Linked DNA regions of Arabidopsis thaliana. The protein of the gene in region 2 purifies or fractionates together with the protein of the main gene of each other region. This does not show direct contact. Each region holds a gene or a part of one and is shown on either strand. Other genes may lie near its edges.

Region 1 (6,686 bases), on a different chromosome or scaffold from region 2:
TGGGTTGGGAGGTTTTGTTGCTTGTAGGGCATTGTCCCAGAGAAATGATGACCCTCAAACTGCTTCCAGGCCGTGGGATAAAGCAAGAGATGGGTTTGTTATGGGTGAAGGAGCTGGTGTTCTGGTATGTTTCACAAATTCTTAATCTCTCATTGATACTATGAATCTACATACATTTGGCTTGCTCTGTTTTGAATTGTATATAAGAGCCTGTTTTGGTCTTAGTTTATAGAATCTGATGAAACTTGTGTTCCCTAGTCTATTAGCTCTGGAAGTTTCCTTGCACTTGAATTGTACTACATTTTCAAAGTTGGTTTATCTCACCATGAGATTGGCTCATACATGTGACATTTTGTTTTGGAGAGACCCACTAATTGTTGTATGCCCTAATAGGTGATGGAAAGCTTGGAACATGCAATGAAACGTGGTGCTCCAATTGTAGCAGAATATCTTGGAGGTGCTGTTAATTGTGATGCTCACCATATGACTGATCCAAGAGCTGATGGTCTTGGGGTTTCTTCATGCATTGAAAGATGCCTGGAAGATGCTGGTGTATCACCTGAGGAGGTAAAAAACACAAACTTTTCATGCTTCCTAAGTTTTAAGGCTATCTGAAACAAATTTCTTCATTAGATTCGTGTTACTTCCCTACTTATATTCATTCCACGTTTTTCAGGTAAATTACATCAATGCACATGCAACTTCCACTCTTGCTGGTGATCTTGCTGAGATTAATGCCATTAAAAAGGTATTCAAGAGCACTTCAGGGATCAAAATCAACGCCACCAAGGTTCGTCCCCAATGCTCTATGATTGAGTGTTCTTCTTCTCCTCTATTTCAATGTATTTGTTTGCTTTGCATTTCCTGTGAATGACAGTTTCTGTTACAGTCTATGATAGGTCACTGCCTCGGTGCAGCTGGAGGTCTAGAAGCCATCGCCACCGTGAAGGCTATCAACACTGGATGGCTGCATCCTTCCATCAACCAATTTGTACGTATAACAGGAAGTCAAGAAAAGGCTTCTTTGATTCCGCTTTCAGTTTGAACTGTTGCAAGATTTGAACTTGGTCATTGTATTAGACTCTCACACTCTTTGTTTTCTCATTGTAGAACCCAGAACAAGCTGTGGACTTTGACACGGTCCCAAACGAGAAGAAGCAACACGAGGTTGATGTTGGTAAGTGACAAACATGACCGCCTTCTCATTGGATTAAACTGGCAACAGTTTCACTGATTAATGTCTTTCTGTTTTGCTGCAGCCATATCAAACTCGTTCGGGTTCGGTGGACACAACTCGGTAGTCGCCTTCTCTGCCTTCAAACCCTGATTTCTTCATACCTTTTAGATTCTCTGCCCTATCGGTTACTATCATCATCCATCACCACCACTTGCAGCTTCTTGGTTCACAAGTTGGAGCTCTTCCTCTGGCCTTTTGCGGTTCTTTCATTCCCCGTTTCTTACGGTTGCTGAGATTTCAGATTTTGTTTGTTCTCTCTCTTGTCTGCGGAATGTTGTGTATCTTAGTTCGTTCCATATTTGCGTAATTTATAAAAACAGAAACTGAGAGAATCTTGTAGTAACGGTGTTATTGTCAGAATAATCCAATTAGGGGATTCTCATCTTTTATTTCTCAACAATTCTTGTCGTGTTTTTACATTCGAAGAAATTAGATTTATACTGAATTTTTTTTCAGTTATACATATGTTGTGATACATCCGAAAATGTTCTCAAATCACACAGGTTTATTTTGGTTTTCATATATACATTTTTCGGTTTACTGGCTTGAAGGCAGTAGCAAAAGTTAAACCGAATTTACAATGAATTGATTTGGTATGTCTGGTTTTTGGTTTAGAATCTGGGTGTATTATACCGCCTTGAGGAAATCAAACGCGCCAAACAAGCGCGTAGACGTAAGTCCAAAATTGTACCGGCCCAAATTTGGTTAATCAAAAAGCACGTAGACGAAAGGCCCAACTAATATCGGCCCAAAATGACCCTTCCCGCCAAAAAGGGTACAGGTTATCTCACGAAATCCCGCCATAAGGAGAAGATCCGCCCTTTATGCCTCTCGAAATCGGAAATCGAAAATCTCTAATCAGTTTTTTTTTTTTAAGTAGAAGAAGAAAAGTTCTTACGAAGAACCCAGATTTTGTTAAGAAATGGATGTGCCAGAGGAGACGAGGCTTCGCCACAAGCGAGATTTTATCCAGTTCCTCGATAGTGTAAGTCGATTTCTATCACTTTTCTCACCAGACATTTCTCGAGCTTCTGTTCTTATCTAATTTGAAAAATTGGATTTTTTTTACGGATTGTGTAGATGTATATGGAGGAAATCAAGGCTTTGGTACATCAAAAGCGTCACCGTCTCATTATTAATATCTCTGACATTCACCACCACTTCAGGGAAGTTGCCTCTAGGTTCGTCATCTTCTCAATTTGTCTTCCTCGAATTTTTAATCGGTTCTTTAGTATAAGGTTATGAATTTACGGCAGATTTTAGGGTTTTGTTAGATTCAGTGAGGTTAATTTGGGGATTTTTAAGGATTCACTACAATTGTCATATGTTTTGTGACCTTAAAGTTGATTGCTTTGGTTTTTTTGGATAGGATACTGAAGAATCCAAATGAGTATATGCAGTCATTTTGTGACGCAGCCACTGAAGCTACTCGTGCTATTGACCCTAAATACTTGAAGGAAGGAGAGCTTGTCCTTGTTGGTTTTGAAGGTTATTTTGTTTCTCGCGTTGTTACTCCTAGAGAGCTTCTCTCTGATTTTATTGGATCTATGGTCTGTGTTGAGGGCATTGTCACCAAATGTAAGCTCATCATTTTCACTCTATTCCTCTGCTTTTCTTCTGTTTCCTTTGTGTTTTACGTAGAAGATTTTGAACCTCTGACACATGCTTTGCTTTCAGGCTCTCTTGTGAGGCCAAAGGTTGTTAAAAGCGTTCACTTTTGTCCATCAACCGGTGAATTTACCAATCGAGATTATCGAGACATAACATCTCACGCTGGTTTACCCACTGGCTCTGTCTATCCCACAAGGGTAATTACATGTTTTTTGTTTTCGTTTTGTTCATTTACCTGTACTGCTGGAAGATTTGCCTCTTACTGAAGATTGAGTTTTTTTTTGTTCAGGATGATAAGGGAAACTTATTGGTGACTGAGTATGGGCTGTGCAAATACAAAGATCACCAGACCTTGTCAATTCAAGAAGTGCCTGAAAATGCTGCTCCTGGTCAGCTTCCACGAAGCGTTGATGTCATTGCTGAGGATGACCTTGTTGACTCATGCAAGCCAGGAGATCGAGTATCTGTTTTCGGTATTTACAAAGCTCTTCCTGGAAAAAGCAAGGGTAGTGTAAATGGAGTCTTTAGGTGCGTTTTCTTACACATCTGTTAGTTCAAGATGTTTTCACTCTGATAGTCTTGACCGAGTTCTTTCTGTGTAGGACTATCCTCATAGCCAATAATATCGCTCTGCTCAATAAAGAAGCAAATGCACCTATATACACTAAGCAAGACCTAGATAACATTAAAAATATTGCACGAAGAGATGATGCATTTGATCTCCTTGCTCGTTCCTTAGCACCTTCTATTTATGGGCACGCTTGGATAAAGAAAGCAGTAGTTTTACTGATGCTTGGTGGTGTTGAAAAGAACCTGAAGAACGGAACCCACTTGAGGGGGTAAGTCTTGCTTGAAAACAGATTTCAGATTCGACTCATTGGATACTTTTTGTCTAACTCATTTTTCTTTCTTCACTTGAAAACAAATCTTGTGCTTTCAGAGACATCAACATGATGATGGTTGGTGATCCATCTGTTGCCAAATCTCAACTTCTGAGAGCGATAATGAATATTGCACCTTTGGCTATATCAACCACAGGCCGTGGTTCTTCCGGTGTTGGGTTAACTGCTGCTGTGACTTCTGACCAAGAAACAGGTAAAAAGCACACAAAAGCGTTTCCACATTTTTTTATCAAATGCTAAAATCAAAATTTGAAGGAAGGTCAAAAGTGCTATTTCTCATTAAAATCAAATTCTCATTTTCATCAGGGGAACGAAGACTAGAAGCTGGTGCAATGGTCCTCGCTGATAAAGGTATCGTGTGCATTGACGAGTTTGATAAGATGAATGATCAGGACCGAGTTGCTATACACGAAGTGATGGAGCAACAGACTGTAACAATTGCAAAAGCCGGTATCCATGCATCACTGAATGCTAGATGCAGTGTGGTTGCAGCTGCAAATCCCATATACGGAACTGTAAGTTCTCACCGAAGTTTTCCTAATCTACTTACTCTACTGACTAGTATTTTTTTGTCCTAATACCTACTCTTGCTCCTGCAGTATGACAGATCACTGACTCCAACAAAGAACATTGGACTTCCAGATTCGCTGCTTTCTCGTTTTGATCTACTGTTTATTGTGTTGGATCAAATGGATGCTGGTATCGACAGCATGATTTCAGAACATGTCTTGCGCATGCATCGTTACAAGAACGATAGAGGTAGGAAACAAATCATGCTTCTATGTTTTACTAAACATTTCACAACCCATGTCTTGAAACGCATCTGACTTTTGAGTGAACCATAGGTGAGGCAGGGCCAGATGGGAGCTTGCCTTACGCGAGAGAAGACAATGCTGAGAGTGAAATGTTTGTTAAGTATAACCAAACACTACATGGGAAGAAGAAAAGAGGCCAAACACATGATAAAACCCTTACGATTAAGTTCTTGAAGAAGTACATTCATTACGCCAAGCACCGTATTACACCAAAGCTCACTGATGAAGTGAGACAGTGAACTCAAATATATAAATTTTTATGTATCTGATAATCTCTTCCACTAAATCTCTTTTGTTATTAAATTTGCAGGCATCGGAACGTATTGCAGAAGCATATGCAGATCTCAGAAATGCAGGTTCCGATACTAAGGTAATTTATTTCATAAAATAACATTGGACACTGTATCTTTTTCGTCTTGGGAACTTGTATTTGACACAACCATCGAAATCTCTGCAGACTGGAGGTACGCTTCCGATAACAGCCAGAACTCTAGAGACAATAATTCGTCTTGCTACGGCACATGCCAAAATGAAGTTGAGTAGCGAGGTAACAATCTAACTCAAATCTTCTGTTTCCCCACCTGGTCGTGAATATGTTCTATTCAGATTCTTTCTAAAGTGATAACTTTATTTTGAAAGGTTACTAAAGCTGATGCAGAGGCTGCCTTGAAGCTTATGAACTTTGCAATATATCATCAAGAATTAACTGAGATGGATGATCGTGAGCAAGAAGAACGTCAAAGGGAACAAGCTGAACAAGAAAGAACACCAAGTGGACGTAGAGGCAACCAACGCAGGAATAATGAAGATGGAGCAGAGAATGACACTGCAAATGTCGACAGGTAAACTAATTTGATCTCCTCCATGGAAACCTATATCACAGCTTTCTCAACCCTTATACTTTTTTCTTTCTCTTTTGCTGGTCCATTCAGTGAAACAGCAGATCCAATGGAAGTAGATGAACCTTCTGTAGAGCAATTCAGCGGCACGGTCTCTGCAGCAAGGATTGAAACCTTTGAGCGAGTGTTTGGGCAGCACATGAGGACACACAGGCTCGATGACATCTCTATTGCAGATATAGAGACTGTTGTCAACAACAATGGGGTTGGAGCATCTCGTTACTCTGCAGATGAGATTATGGCTCTCTTAGAGGTAATTCACAAATTAAGAGACAAGCTTTCTCATTCTTTAACTTTTTATACAATATCTTCATAACTTTACTCTATTGTGGATTTTATGCAGAAACTGCAAGATGATAACAAAGTGATGATCAGCGATGGCAAAGTTCATATCATTTGATCATATGAAGAAATCAATATTGATTGCATCATCATCATCATATTAGAACTCAAAAATAGTGTAGTAGTAAACTCTTGGAAACCAAAATATCATTTTGTAAAATCTTTATTCATACGTTATGTTTTTTGCATTTACTAGTGAAGTAAAACTGATGATAAAATGCTTAAAAAAACGCATCTGATTATAAAATTTGGAATTTATAACGAAAAGCACAATCCGAGAATAAAATACTTTCATATTTATCCTATAATTTCTTGAGCTGTTTATGCCAAATTTTATACATATGTAATCGACATCAAGATTATAGTGTATATGTTGTTTTAACCCAATGGTAAGAATAGAGTTGTGCCATATATAAGCCAACTTCAAAACCCTAATAATCACTACCTTGGAACTCTCTCGTCTAAAAGATCCATGTTTTTCCATTTGGTCTCTATTACTTTTTTTTTTTTTTTCCAAAACATGTTTGCTTTGTCCATGATGGATCCTATACGTTTCTAAAATTGTACATATAATCAGGTTAAATTCCACAAAGACGGATTGAAATCAGTTTTGGTATACAGAGTAATACAACAAAATCTATTTTTTTTTTTGTTGCCAAATAACAAAATCTATTTTGGTAGGTTACTGCACACGTTTCTCTATCAACCCTAGTCAAAACAATTGAGTTACTAAATAAACTTACGTAGTTAGGCCATACATGTCTCTGATTCAGACCAGAGCTTCTCAGAAATGTTAAGGCCATGAGCAAGAGAAACTTGTCTCCACTCTAAGAATTCTAAATTCTTAAAGTAATCATAAAGTGAGACGTATGTGTAGTAA
Region 2 (4,933 bases):
TCCACTCTCCAGAGGTATTATTTAATAATAGATGAACACTCGAGGATAATTTTCCCTTGTTTTCTTGACAGTGAAGAAGTAATTATTGACTGATGTGTGATATATATGCCATGCATAAAAAGTTAAACTAGTTTGATTAAACGTAACTTATATGCTTCTTTTGTGTGTCAAAAGAAGGGCTAAAAGTCCAGACTCAAGCAACATTATTGTGTTTAACCGACTAAATGTTTCGAAAATTATTGGATTTTTTTTTGTATTCACACATTTTAATGTTGGATACAAAATAATTCAAACATTCAAAAAACAAATATGAATTGGATGTGTCGGTGATGAGTGGTGAGAGCCGGAGAGAGGAGCTCATGTGATTGAAGTCCATAGGTCACGGCCCACGACCGACACTCACTGTGGGGGCCACGATTTTGGGAACTCATATGTTCCAGTCATGTTCGACTTAACAAAGAATACCAAACATCATTTTCGTCACTTTCCAATTAAAATGCTTTCTTACGTTATACATTACTATAATTTATCATTCATTAAAACTTAAAATTGATGCAAATTCAGATTATATTTTCATTACACCAAAGGTCCAAATATATAATACACAAATGCAAATGCTAAGTCGCATACTCGCATGTCAAGTGACACCCAGGCGGACATGGCTGTTTTTGGGTTTTTGCGGATAGACGGTCACTTGGTTCATCACTTGCGAGATGGACTCGTGCTGCAATATACTTCGACTCTCTACCATTCTATTTTTAGGTAATGTTATTTCTACAACCTTTAAAGTTAGGAATAATTTAATTGTTATTACTATATAGTAGAAGTATATTTCCAAAATTCCAAAGACTGTATAGAATCGATCAAATTAATCTCAGATACCAAGCCAGATAGATTAACAAATTACTTACCAGAATATATAACAAGGAGGGAAAGAAAAGTGAATATGTTCAAAAAAACTATTCATTTTCACGGAGACCTTTTGTTCTACCTACGGATATATATTGGCTAACTTTTTTTTGGTAAAAAGTTAAATTTTATACCAATTTTCTAATTTTTTCTCTACAATGCTGAAACAGCTTATTTAAAAAAGCAACAATTAGAAAGGGAAGGAGATACAACCAAAGTAGAAACTAAGAAGAGAAATAGAAGAAGAAGGAGGACCAGGGAAGGATAGAAGGCGGTCTCTAACGGTGCGGTCCACGGCAGCCTTAGTCACAGAAGCCGAAGTGGAGATGTTGGTGAAGATCCTTGCATTTCGTTCGCGCCAAATGAGATAGCACGCAACCTGAGCGATGAGCTTGATGATGACAGAAGAGAGAGTTTGAGGTTGGAGCTTGCGCTGTAAAATCTAAGATGAGACTGAGAGAAGATCCAAGGGTGGCAAGCGCCAAACTTTAGAAGTTAAAGCTTCCCAAACAGAGGAAGAGAAGGGGCATTCGAAGAATAAGTATCGATGAGTCTCGATGCCAGCAGAACAGAGAACACAAGCTGAGGTGACGTTAATACCCCAGCCCCGCAACCTGTCCTTAGTAGGCAATCTGCCCAGGAACGCAAGCCACATAATAAATGAGTAGCGCGGAACTAACTTGATTTTGGAGTCAATAATCCATAGCTTGCTTTTCAAATATCTTTTTGTTTTTTTTGTTTTCCACGTTTTTCAAATATCTGTTGGACCATTTTGTCTTAGATTTAGATTCAATAACTTTTGCTATACTATACTGTGTATTCTTCTTGTACTAAATTTTGTAAAAACTGAATACCCAAACAAAAAAATACATGAAATACAAGTATTTTATTTAAAATTTAGACCTGTTCTCTTATTCGTTGGACTAAATATACAATAATAAATGGATAAATTATTTATAAAATAACAGTTATAAGATAGAAAAAAAATTACTACGGATGTGGTACAACAAATTTCTCGTTAAGAGAGATATGGGCCGGTCGAAGTGCCGGCCTCTATAGATAAGCCGGCACCGCGTATATTACGCACAACGTATTCCGCTCTTTTTTTGTTACATCATTGTGCAGAATGCAGATTCCTAACCAAAGAAAAAGAAAGTTTTTAAAAATATTTAATTATAATTATATGATGAAATCAAGAATGGGTCCTCCAAAAATCGAGCTTATGGCCCAATAAAGCCCAAACGTAAATAGCCAAGCCCAAGCATATTTATCCACGTTCCCAAACAATCCCTAAACCTCATCATCATCATCTCCAAACTCCTAAAACCCTAACAAGAACCCTTATCTCTCTCATTTCCTCTGAAAGGAATCATTTTTCCACTCAGAAAATCTCAAACATTTCAACCATGTCGATTTCTAAAGCCGCCTTTTTAAACCACCTTCAAACACTATCAAGATCCTACCGCCACCGTGTTCTGCCGCAGCCATTTCTCGCCGTCCGATACATGTCATTCGCGACTCAGGAAGAAGCCGCCGCTGAACGTCGCCGTCGTAAGCGTCGTCTTCGTATGGAGCCACCGGTTAATTCATTCAACAGATCTCAGCAACAACAATCTCAAATCCCTCGACCAATTCAAAACCCTAATATCCCGAAATTACCTGAATCTGTCTCTGCTCTCGTTGGGAAACGTCTCGATCTTCATAATCATATCCTGAAATTGATCCGAGAGAATGATTTAGAAGAAGCTGCTCTGTACACTCGTCACTCTGTGTATTCGAATTGCCGTCCCACGATTTTCACTGTGAATACTGTTTTAGCGGCGCAGCTTCGACAAGCTAAGTATGGAGCGCTTCTGCAATTGCATGGATTCATTAATCAAGCTGGTATTGCACCTAATATCATCACATACAATTTGATATTCCAGGCTTATCTTGATGTAAGGAAACCTGAAATTGCGTTGGAGCATTACAAGTTGTTTATAGATAATGCTCCATTGAATCCTTCTATTGCTACTTTTAGGATTTTAGTTAAGGGTTTAGTTAGTAATGACAATCTTGAGAAAGCAATGGAGATTAAAGAGGATATGGCTGTTAAAGGTTTTGTGGTGGATCCTGTTGTTTATAGTTATCTAATGATGGGGTGTGTGAAGAATTCTGATGCTGATGGTGTGTTAAAGCTTTATCAGGAGTTAAAGGAGAAGCTTGGTGGGTTTGTTGATGATGGTGTGGTTTATGGGCAATTGATGAAGGGGTATTTCATGAAGGAGATGGAGAAAGAGGCTATGGAGTGTTATGAGGAAGCTGTTGGAGAGAATTCAAAGGTTAGGATGAGTGCTATGGCTTATAATTATGTGCTGGAGGCTTTGAGTGAGAATGGGAAGTTTGATGAGGCTTTGAAGTTGTTTGATGCGGTGAAAAAGGAACATAATCCACCGAGGCATTTGGCTGTAAATTTGGGAACTTTTAATGTGATGGTTAATGGGTACTGTGCTGGAGGAAAGTTTGAGGAAGCTATGGAGGTTTTTAGGCAAATGGGTGATTTTAAGTGTAGTCCTGATACTTTATCGTTCAACAATCTGATGAATCAGCTGTGTGACAACGAGTTGTTGGCTGAGGCTGAGAAGCTTTATGGTGAAATGGAAGAGAAAAATGTGAAGCCTGATGAGTACACATATGGTTTGTTAATGGATACTTGTTTCAAGGAAGGTAAGATAGATGAAGGAGCTGCGTATTACAAAACAATGGTTGAGTCTAATCTAAGACCAAATTTGGCTGTGTATAACCGTTTGCAAGATCAGTTGATCAAAGCTGGGAAACTCGACGATGCAAAATCTTTCTTCGATATGATGGTGAGCAAACTCAAGATGGACGATGAGGCTTACAAATTCATCATGAGGGCGTTAAGTGAAGCTGGTAGACTCGACGAGATGCTCAAGATTGTGGATGAGATGCTGGATGATGACACGGTAAGAGTGAGTGAGGAACTGCAAGAGTTTGTGAAAGAAGAACTGAGGAAAGGAGGAAGAGAGGGAGATCTGGAGAAACTAATGGAAGAGAAAGAGAGATTGAAAGCAGAGGCAAAGGCGAAAGAGTTAGCAGATGCAGAAGAGAAGAAGAAGGCTCAAAGTATTAACATAGCTGCATTAATTCCTCCAAAAGCAGTGGAAGAAAAGAAAGAAACCGCAAAACTGCTTTGGGAAAACGAAGCTGGTGGTGTTGAAGAAGCCGATGTGGTGGAGATGGCTAAAGGAGTAGAAGCAGGTGGATCCAATGGTCAGGATCCACCGTCCTGCTGATCTTATTTTTTTCCTTGAATTCATTAGACTCTAGTTATCTTCTTATCATTCAACTTTTATGTAATTAGGGATTTGTTTGGGACAATAAGCTATGATTAATCTTTTGCTATAATGCAGGTGTTTGCAAAATCTTTTTTCCATGTTTGCTTTTGATTTCAAATTAACATGCTATGTAGAACATTTGTTTTAGTGGATGGTCTATGTAATCATTTCTTTATTACTCAATTTGGTGCATTATATACGTAACAAGAAATTGTAAATCTTATCCATTTGGGACAAAGATTTGAAGTGAGGAAAGACTGTATTCCAACTACATGAAGCAATAGAAACTGAGCATCTGATTAGAAAGCCTAGAAGATTGATTATGTACACAGCAAACTGGTCAAGTCAAAAGCAAAACAGACAGAGATTGGAAACAGCATAACCAAAACTAACCGATCTACTACCCTTCAAGGAAATTTATTAAAATCTAGTATATCTGATAAGATGCATTCCATGGAAGCAATCTATCAAAAACTTAGCTGGAAACAAGTTCTTATAGTCAAAATAGGCTTCCTACTTATAGTCAAAATAGGCTTCCTATAGAAGCAAGGGTCACTGTAACTCCGAGCTCTATGCTTCTTTGCTTGCTTTTTTTTCATCTGGGTGTGTTCATTGGCTGGGGCACCACCAACACATAAACAGACCAATGTTAGCCATATAAAACTTTCAGATAGAGGTATTTGAAG

The links.
Region 1: the proteins of emb1796 (region 2) and MCM3 fractionate together in Arabidopsis thaliana (co-fractionation; one large-scale study listed by BioGRID). This does not show direct contact.

What each region holds. Positions count from the first base shown.
Region 1 is NC_003076.8:18,769,080-18,775,765, reverse strand, and holds MCM3 (Minichromosome maintenance (MCM2/3/5) family protein), read left to right. Parts: upstream 1-2,062; 5' UTR 2,063-2,159; coding exon 2,160-2,222; intron 2,223-2,317; coding exon 2,318-2,418; intron 2,419-2,606; coding exon 2,607-2,815; intron 2,816-2,914; coding exon 2,915-3,045; intron 3,046-3,137; coding exon 3,138-3,376; intron 3,377-3,450; coding exon 3,451-3,687; intron 3,688-3,788; coding exon 3,789-3,943; intron 3,944-4,056; coding exon 4,057-4,265; intron 4,266-4,349; coding exon 4,350-4,509; intron 4,510-4,595; coding exon 4,596-4,792; coding exon of another isoform or gene 4,793-4,804; exon of another isoform or gene 4,805-4,875; coding exon 4,876-4,935; exon of another isoform or gene 4,936-5,022; coding exon 5,023-5,112; coding exon of another isoform or gene 5,113-5,124; exon of another isoform or gene 5,125-5,204; coding exon 5,205-5,407; coding exon of another isoform or gene 5,408-5,411; exon of another isoform or gene 5,412-5,497; coding exon 5,498-5,717; intron 5,718-5,807; coding exon 5,808-5,864; 3' UTR 5,865-6,117; downstream 6,118-6,686. Other genes in the region: KASI (3-ketoacyl-acyl carrier protein synthase I), read left to right, coding at 1-124, 394-567, 677-790, 890-1,039, 1,111-1,177, 1,260-1,327; AT5G46270 (Disease resistance protein (TIR-NBS-LRR class) family), read left to right, coding at 6,676-6,686.
Region 2 is NC_003074.8:18,253,771-18,258,703, forward strand, and holds emb1796 (Pentatricopeptide repeat (PPR) superfamily protein), read left to right. Parts: upstream 1-2,190; 5' UTR 2,191-2,315; coding exon 2,316-4,205; 3' UTR 4,206-4,433; downstream 4,434-4,933. Other genes in the region: AT3G49230 (uncharacterized protein), read left to right, coding at 635-762, 1,080-1,137; DMS3 (defective in meristem silencing 3), read right to left, coding at 4,843-4,863.